Canis lupus familiaris: one gene and its partner. The protein of the gene in region 1 interacts with the protein of each later gene in a pairwise test. Links are inferred from orthologs where the notes say so. Each region holds a gene or a part of one and is shown on either strand. Other genes may lie near its edges.

The links. The genes of interacting proteins can lie anywhere in the genome.
Region 2: the proteins of ADAMTSL4 (region 1) and SMARCC1 interact in binary tests that used the Homo sapiens proteins (3 or more experiments, as listed by UniProt). The two-hybrid records come from large-scale screens. The link is inferred for Canis lupus familiaris from reciprocal best matches to the Homo sapiens genes ADAMTSL4 and SMARCC1.

Annotation. Positions count from the first base shown.
Region 1 is NC_049238.1:60,392,428-60,397,192, forward strand, and holds the start of ADAMTSL4 (ADAMTS-like protein 4), read left to right. Parts: upstream 1-1,571; 5' UTR 1,572-1,702; intron 1,703-1,962; exon of another isoform or gene 1,963-2,123; intron 2,124-3,041; exon of another isoform or gene 3,042-3,169; intron 3,170-3,450; exon of another isoform or gene 3,451-4,049; 5' UTR 4,050-4,135; coding exon 4,136-4,155; exon of another isoform or gene 4,156-4,341; coding exon 4,342-4,399; exon of another isoform or gene 4,400-4,678; coding exon 4,679-4,765. UniProt on the Homo sapiens protein: Positive regulation of apoptosis. May facilitate FBN1 microfibril biogenesis.
Region 2 is NC_049241.1:41,658,395-41,662,668, forward strand, and holds part of SMARCC1 (SWI/SNF complex subunit SMARCC1), read left to right. Parts: intron 1-1,862; coding exon 1,863-1,976; intron 1,977-2,778; coding exon 2,779-2,932; intron 2,933-3,414; coding exon 3,415-3,528; intron 3,529-4,274. UniProt on the Homo sapiens protein: Involved in transcriptional activation and repression of select genes by chromatin remodeling (alteration of DNA-nucleosome topology).

The DNA of each region.
Region 1 (4,765 bases):
AGGACAATGTTGCTAGAGTTGCTGCTGCTACTGCTGTTTCTTTACTTCTTTAAGAGAGAGTGTGAGTAAGAGAGAGAGAGAGCATGGGCGGGGGTGGAGCAGAGGGAGAGGGAGAGGCAGACTTCCTGCTGATCAGGGAGCCTGATGTGGGGTTCCACACCGGGACTCTAGGATCACAACCCCAGCCCAAGGCAGGCCCTCAAATGACTGAGCTCCCCAGGCTCTCCTAGAGCTTCTATTTTTATGTTTTTATTTTTCAAGAGAAGCTATTAACTATCTGGTTTTAAAATATTGACAAGTCAATAAAAAAAAAAAAGACCACAAAGCTTGAAAATACTGTGCACTTGGGTAGCTCAGTCAGTCAATTAAGCCTCGGACTCTTGTTTTGGCTCAGGTCATGATCTCAGGATTGTGAGTTTGAGCCTGGAGTCCAGCTCTGCATTCAGCAAGGACTCTGCTTGAGTTTCTCTCTTCCTCTCCCTCTGGCCCTCCTGCTCTTGCTGTCTGTCTGTCTCTCAAATAAATAAATAAATCTTTAAAAAAAGAAAAAGAAAATAGTCAACCCAACAATCTGTCACTATGGTTCATGAGTAGATGGCAAATAAAAATCTTAAATAGTAGTAACCATTTATTATCTACTCTATGTCAGCCATGTTGTATAAATTATTTATTTATTAACGTAACTAAACATAGAGCTTCTGGGTGAAAACTCAAACAATACATAAGCGGACAGGGTAAAAAGCTAAAGCCTATTTTTTTTTTTTTTTTTGCTCCCCAGTGTGACCACCCTGAGTCTGGGGTGCATTCCTCCAGATCCGGGTGGGCAGCCCTATCTCCCAGCCCATCAGACACGTCAGATTAGTTCCATTTTACAGACAAGGAAACTGCAGCACAGAAAGGTTGAAGTCTTCACCCAGGGTCACACAGCTGGCGCCTCCTGGAGCTAAGATGCACATCCAGATCCTCTGACTCCTAAGTCAGCGCATTTCTTCTGCTACACGCCCTATGTGTGTAACATTTTTTTTTTAAAGATTTTATTTATATATTCATGAGAGAGACACACACACAGAGAGAGACACAGAGAGAGAGGCAGAGACACAGGCAGAGGGAGAAGCGGGCTCCATGCAGGGAGCCCGACGCGGGACTGGATTCTGGGACCTGGGGTCACGCCCTGGGCGGAGGCAGACAGACGCCCAACCGCAGAGCCAGCGTCCCCGTGTGTAACGTTTTATGGATGGAGAAATCGAGGCTCGTCGAGGTCCCCGAGCCGTCACACCGCGCGGCCACAGCCCCACCCGGGGCAGGCCGGGCTGATCCGCCCGCACGAGGCTGCGCGGAGCGGCGGGGGGAAGCCTCCGCTCAGAGCCAGCGAGCAGGCCGGGCCCCCGCCCCCCGCCCCGCGCCCCGCGCCCCCGCCCCCGCCCCCGCCCCAGCCGGGCCAGCGCTCGCGCCAGGGACCCGCGGGGCCCGCACGCCGGGTGGTCGCGGCCCGCGGCGGGGGCTGGGGGCCGCGGAGGGGCGCGGGGCGGGCGGGCGCCAGCAGGCAGGGGCGGGGCGGGGCGGGCGGGGGGCGGAGCCGCGGCCGGAGGCCGTGGTGTCCCGAGCGCGGCTCAGGGGCCGGAGTGGCCGTCGCGGAGCAAGGCTGCCTCCAGACAGCGCTCGGGCACAGAAGGGTTAAGGCCGCCGGGGCCGCGCGGAGCAGGTACAGACCCCCCTCCCCGAGACCCCGGCCGCCCGCCCTCCCGCCCGGTCAGAGCCCCCGCCGCGCCGCCCCCGCGTCCCGCGGTCGCCACCCCAGCCGCTGCTCCGGCCCCAGCTCTGTAGTCTCCGGAGATCTTCCAGTTCCGGGGGTCGAATTCCTGGGGAGGGGATTCCGATCCTGCGGAACTCTGGCCCCATCACCCGGTCGGAGAATCAGCCAAAATTCCTACTAAGTCGCGGGAGTGAAGTTGGAAAACATACCCAGGACCTCCCCGCACGCGCTGGCGCCTCCTGCCCTCCTCCTCCGGGAGGGTGCTCCTTCGAGGATGTGTGCCTCTGCCACCCCCTTAAGTCTCGGGGTTGGGGCCAGGGACGCTGGGACCGGTGCCGGGGGTTGCCCTTGATCCAGCTCAGCCCGAAGACTAGAAAAGGAAAGACACCTGTTTGGATGGTCCTCCGGACCAGGGAATGGAGGGCACAGTGAGGACCAGGAAGTTCTGACCCAGGAGAGGGGCTCTCCTGGAACACGCTGTCCCACCCCTCCCCTGCAGCAGCAACCCGTTTCCCAGAAGTGGGTCCCTCTGGGGGTGAAGGGGTTAGCCCTGCCTGGGTCTCTCCTTGATCCTCACTGGCCAGTGTGGAGCTGTGGCCAGGAGGAGCCCAGGTTTGTCCAGACCAGTGTCTAGCCTGGTGCCGGGGTGACCACTTCTGACCTCTCCCTTCCTCACCCTGGGCAGTGAGACACCCCACATGAGGAACATGAAAAGGGGTGAGAAGCACAAATGTATGTCTGTCTCTGCAGTGGAGGGGGTGTCGGCCCCCTGCCCAGCTGTACAGGGGGTGGGGTAGGACTTTTCCAGAGAGGGAGCCAGGCCTGGCCAGGGCTCCAGGAGTTCACGTCACCCCCACCCCCCACCCCTCACTTCTCCAGGGAACTGCCAAAGCCAAACCCAGCTCAGGACGGGATTATGTGTACTGGGTAGACCCGCAGAGAGAGACAGCAAGATACAGAGCCGGGGTAGCAGAGAGAAGCAGAGACTGTCCAGAGGGAGTGGAGAGGGTAGCCAGCAGCAGACAGGGACAGATGGTGACCATCACCCCCATCTCTCCTCTTCAACCACAGGAACAGAGGCAGGCCAGAGCTAAAGGTTTGGGTGGACCGTTGGCTCTTCTCAGAGCCTCTATACCCCCATCAGGGTGGAGCAGCCATCAGCAACCCCTTCTCAACCTAAAGCCGCTGAGGTGACCCTGTGCACCCAGGCCCAACCTCTGCAAACCCTCCCACAGACTTCCAAGTCTTGGGGTCTCAGAGAGGAGACTGGGGCTGAGAGTGTCCTTACCGCCAAGTACATTCCTGCCCTTCCGTCTCATTCTCCTGCCCCCGAGCTGGCCCACCTCGGCATCAGCTCCTTGGATTCCTCTCCTGGGTGCCTTTCAGATCCAACAGAAACATTTTTTTTTTTTTTTCCTGGAAAGCAGAACCAAGAGCAGGTTGAGGAGTGAGGGTGGGAAGGGCTCAGAGTGAGCAGCAAGGGGCTGGAGAGCTTTGAGACCAGGGGTGGGTTCCATGCTCTACTTTGCTGACGATGAAAGGTAGGATGGACTTCCTTACTCCTCAGAATGATAGGCCTGTGGCTGGGGAGCAAGGGCAGCTCTAGCTGCATCTTTCCTTCCTGGGTACCCCCAGCCTGTCATCGTTGGGCCTGACATAAGCTCTCATTGCCAGTGCAGAGGGATGGGGAAAATCACCTGCTTCTCCAGAGATTAAATCATCAGCCCACTTAGTTTATCTCTTGGCTACAAAGTGTTTGAGTCCGGCAGAGATGCCTGAGTGTTCCAGAAGGAGCTTCGTTAAAAATGGGAGAAAGAGCTGGGTGGCAGGTAGGGAAAGGAACTCCCATGGGGCTTCTGGTCCACTCCTTGGAGTGGGTGTCCCACATGTTGTCACCCATGCCTCCCTCGGCCATCGGGGTCCTCTGGGAGGGAGGAGGGCAAACCAGATCAGAATCATCTTCAGGAAGAGCGTGTGCTGTGTGGCCCAAGCTGTCCTGTAAACAATCCCTAGTGGGGAGGAGGGAGGAGCTGAGGAGTTCCTGCAGGCTGACAGGAGGGGACTGAGCCACTGAGCCACGGTCTGGAGGCTGAGGTCAGCCCCCCACCTTCCAGCCTCAGCGGCCCAGGAAGGGCAGCATTCCTTCCTGCTCTCACCCTTAAGGTCAGAGGGGGTGGACCACTCCCCCCACACCCCTCCATCCTCTCTCAGAGATGCCCTTCTGAGTAGCCCTCCGTGCCAACCCCCTGGCTTTCTGGCGCCTGGAGAAGTGACCACATGGCTCCTGTCCCCACAGAGCGTGCCCTCTCAGCGCCCAGATGCGGGAGTAGTGTGTTTACTCCCGGTCCTCTGTCCCCTGCCCCGGGCATCCAGGGAGGAGCGATGGAGAAGTGGGCGGGCAGGTAAGTGTGGGGCTGCCAGCCGGAGGGCCACTCTGTCCCTGGAAGTGAGGGGACGGCCACTGCTGGGCAGGGCGGGGGCAAGTGATGGGCAACTTCTGCTTTCTGAGAAGCTGGCGCCGGGATGCTGGCTGCCCGCTGCGGGGCGGGGTGGGGGGTGTCACAACACCTCCTCTGGCTGGTTGGCAGGCCCCGGTTATGTCTGATGCTGCTTCTGTCCCTCCCGGAGCTCTGCCTGGAGCAGGAGGTAAGCCAGGGGCCAGAGGGTGTGATCCTTTCTTCCTCCCTGGCTCCCACCCCACTTCTCCAGGCCACGCAGCCGCCCTGCACGGCTTCAGATGAGCCGGGGCGCCTCTCACGTTCGCCCTCCCAGCCTCTCTTTCACCCTCCTGGCCACATCTCACCCCTGCTACTGAAAGTGACCTCAGTCCAGTAACGACTGCCCGACCTTCGGGTACTGGACCAGCCGTCCAAACAGTTCCCTCGAAAATCCTTCTCATTTTGTCTGGTCTTCTTGTCTACATAGATATCGTCTGGACGCTCTCTTCAGACACCCTCGGAGGAGGGTCAGGGGCCTGAGGGTGTCTGGGGTCCTTGGGACCCGTGGACCTCT
Region 2 (4,274 bases), on another chromosome or scaffold:
CTTGAACTACAAGCCTGTCAGCTTTTAACAGCTGAGATTGGATTCAGTAACAGGCATTCACTAAAACAGGTTTAGGTTTCTCCCTAACAGTTCTTACCTTACTTTATATATACATATGTATTATAGATAACATATATTTATGTATAATAATTTAGGAGAAAGTGGGAATCTTTATCTAATTTTCCTGATGAATGACTAGTAATTTAAAGAATGCCAAATATGACATAGCTGCCTGTAAATCGGTCCTAAGTACATAAAACATTGTTGTGCTTTTGCATTGGAAATACAGAATCTTGTATTGGATGGAAGAATCTTGTCAGGAAGTATTTTTGCCTTTGCCTAGTGACCACTAAAAACACATTTCTGGAAACGCTGTCCCCGAAAATAAATCCATACCTATATCATACTATAAATACTTTTCTGTATATTACCTTTTAGTATTAATTCATTGTTTGCTATGCTCACATGACTTCACAAATAGATGTCTCTTATTTAAATTGGTAGAGAAGGATAACTGTCCACATAAAACACATATTGGAATAATTGAATAATATTTTCTTGTAAAAGATTGTCCATGATAGTTTGAGATTTGAAGATTAGATGTCAAAGATAATTCAACCTTTCTATAACAAAGCTGTAAGGATTCATTTAAAACCACAATCACAGATTTGGTATAAGAAACCCTGATAATTTTTTTTCATCTAGTTAGACATGGTATATTCTTTTGGCTAACTTGGCAATTGCTACCATTTGTAAATAGTTCCAGTTCTTGGCAGTCTCTTGTTTAAAAGCACAATTTAGCATTTTAGTTTCCGTAAATCTAAAAATTTATCTTTAGATCTTTGTTTATCCACTTGTCCATATACGAGAGCTTTTTTGAGCAGGGTACCTTCTCTACTCTGATGTAGTCACCCTTAACTTGCTAGATTTTTGTTTTACTTTTGTGGTGAGAACTTTTGCTAGCTCTCTAGCTTCTTTTCACTTGTTTTAAATATTTTGTCATAGAAATGCTTAGGGATGTTGTGAAATCTGCTGTGACTCAAAAAATCAGTTTCTCTCTCTCTCTCTCTTTTTTTTATCTGTTCTTGTCTTAGCTTTGATTTTGCCCTCATGGGTTCTAGTCCTTGCCTAACTGGGTATATAGCCACTGACCTGACCCACATGTAGCTCTAGGAAGAATATAGAGATGAGATGGAACATGTGTTAAGAGCATAGATTCCAGAGTATCTCCCTCCACCATGTTGAATTCTAGCTCCATAGTTACTAGCCTTGTGGTCTAGGACACAGTTTTTAATCACTCTGTGCTTTAATTTGCTTGTTGATAAATGAGATGATAGTAGTAAACCCTACTTTATGAAGAAATTGTGAGATTTAAATGAATTATGGTAGGATACACAGTAGTTGGGAGACAGCCTAAGTGACCAGGTGTTATTTGCAAATTCAGCAGGGAACTAAGGATTTATCCATTCACCACTGTGACCACTTTTGTATTTATGTTCACATTACTATTATCATCATCATTTTTAAGCGAACTCTACCCATTGTGGGTCTTGAACTCCCCTCCCCAAGATCAAGAGTCACATGCTCTATCAACTAAGCCAGCCAGGCGCCCTGTGTTACTTTAACTTCATCAGATTTTACTCCATTTTATTTATTGTTTTTAAATAATAGTGGGTTTTCTTTTGCATATTAGGGGTTTTTATCCTTAGTTACATTCATGACTGTAAATAGTCAATACTATTGTTGGTTGGAATATTGACTTTTTGGTGGATTTGGTTGGAATATGATAATTTTGGGCTCTGTGAGTTGTTATTTCTGAAAGGATGTGTGTCTGCCTTATGAATTTTGCCTCTGCTTTTTAGATACTTGGCATATCGAAATTTTATGATTGACACATATCGCCTAAACCCACAAGAGTATTTAACCAGCACTGCTTGTCGGAGGAACTTGACTGGAGACGTGTGTGCTGTGATGAGGTAAAGATGCCTGAGTTTTTCTCAGACACTTCACTTTAGGTGGTTACTGATGCATTGCTGTTTAATGTTTGATGAAACAAGATCTTTTCTTTCTTAATAAAATACCTTAATCAAATATCTTTTATTTAGTTGTATATTTAATACCGTGGCATTTTCTCCTCATTTTAAGATTTTTATAACTGACATCTTTTGTTTTATAATGAAATCCTAAAACGACCAGGGATGGAGAGTGGATAAGCTCTGTACAGTAGATCTATCTAAAGAAGCAAATCACATGTGAATCTTCTGTTTGAATTTGGTCTGTGTGTGAGTTCTTTCACCATGGACTTCAATGAACATTTGTTCTCTGATTTCTGTGATTGAAATAATTAGGCTTTGTACTGGGTTTTGGGGTGCTTTGCTGTCAATATTTTTTTTTTTTTAATTTTTATTTATTTATGATAGTCACAGAGAGAGAGAGAGAGGCAGAGACATAGGCAGAGGGAGAAGCAGGCTCCATGCACCGGGAGCCCGATGTGGGATTCGATCCTGGGTCTCCAGGATGGCGCCCTGGGCCAAAGGCAGGCGCCAAACCGCTGCGCCACCCAGGGATCCCGCTTTGCTGTCAATATTATTTTGAATTTACAGAAATTGTCCCTCATACAACAAACCAAAATTGTTAATTAACTTTATGATGGTTCATAGCCTGCAGAGAACATTTACTTGTTTTGTTGTTTTTATTTTTTAATGAAATGCGATAATGGTTATGAAGGAAATGAGATACATTCCCTAGATTTTAACTTTATGAGCTTTACTCTTCCAGGGTTCATGCCTTTTTAGAGCAGTGGGGGCTTGTTAATTACCAAGTGGATCCAGAAAGTCGACCCATGGCAATGGGACCTCCTCCTACTCCTCATTTTAATGTGTTAGCTGATACCCCCTCTGGGCTTGTGCCTCTACATCTTCGATCACCTCAGGTAACTTAATTATTACATTAATATTATAGTTTTAGTATTAGTAATTATTACACTAAAAAACTAGTATCAGGCATTATTATTACACTGATTATACACTGATGTGTGAAACTTCTTCCCTTTCCTAACTTTTGGAAAGTGGATATCCACACACATACATTCTTGAAAAGATTAGTATGTTAACCAGATTTTATATAGCCTTAAGTTAGAGTAGCATGAGTCTAGGGCAAGAATTGTTCTTTACATGAAATGGTAGAGCATATTAAAGAAAATCTGTTTACTGTTTTCTCTGGGATTTAAGAGAGGCAGAAAAATGTTGCTTATATAGTATGTTGCAATGTTGGAAGTGTAGGGCAAAGGTTTGGATATTTATTTTTTTAATAAAATCTCCTTACATGTCAGTATTAAACAGTACTGTAAAACCTTCTATCCCCCCTTACTTTGTAGAGGTTAATACAGCCATCTATCATTTGTCCAACTCCTAGGTCCCTGCTGCTCAGCAGATGTTAAATTTTCCTGAGAAGAACAAGGAGAAACCAATTGATTTGCAGAACTTTGGTCTTCGCACTGACATTTACTCCAAGAAAACCTTAGCAAAGGTAAGGACTTTTTTCTAGAAACAACTGGGCTGCAATCCAGCATGTCCTCTTCTTTGTCCTAAGAAGTGTCATTTTTCATAAGAAACTTAACTGTCTATAATGTAAAAGGGTACACATTCTACTTACTCTGTTGGCATTTTATAAAACAAGTCATTTACCATTTTTTCTGTATGGTTAGAATGGTAGGTATTTTAAACTAACTCTGATTAATATGTTAAATAAAATGAGAAAAAGTGGAGAATTTCAGCATAATTGGAATCTATACAAAGAATCAAATGAATATTGGATAATTAAAAAAATACACCCGAAATTAACTCATTGGGTGATTTTAGCAGCAGGTTGAGCACAACAGAAGACAGGATTAAATGAGCTCAGACTGGGGGTGCCTGGGTGGCTCAGCAGTTGAATGTCTGCTTTTGGCTCAGGGCGTGATGCTGGATCCGGGATTGAGTCCCACATCGGGCTTCCTGCATGGAGCCTGCTTTTCCCTCTGCCAATGTCTCTGCCTCTCTCTGTGTGTCTACATTAATAAATAAATAAAAATCTTTCTAATAAATAAATAAATAAGCTCAGACTGGGTAGTAGAGCCAGCTGGGTGAGGGAGGAGGACAGAAAACAGAATGCAAGGGACGCGTGTTTATCATTAGACACCTGTAAGAAGAGAAAGAATGAAGCAGAAGTGTATTTGAAGATGTAATGGCTGAACATTTTTGATTAAAAAAAAAAAAAAGATACCAACTCATAAG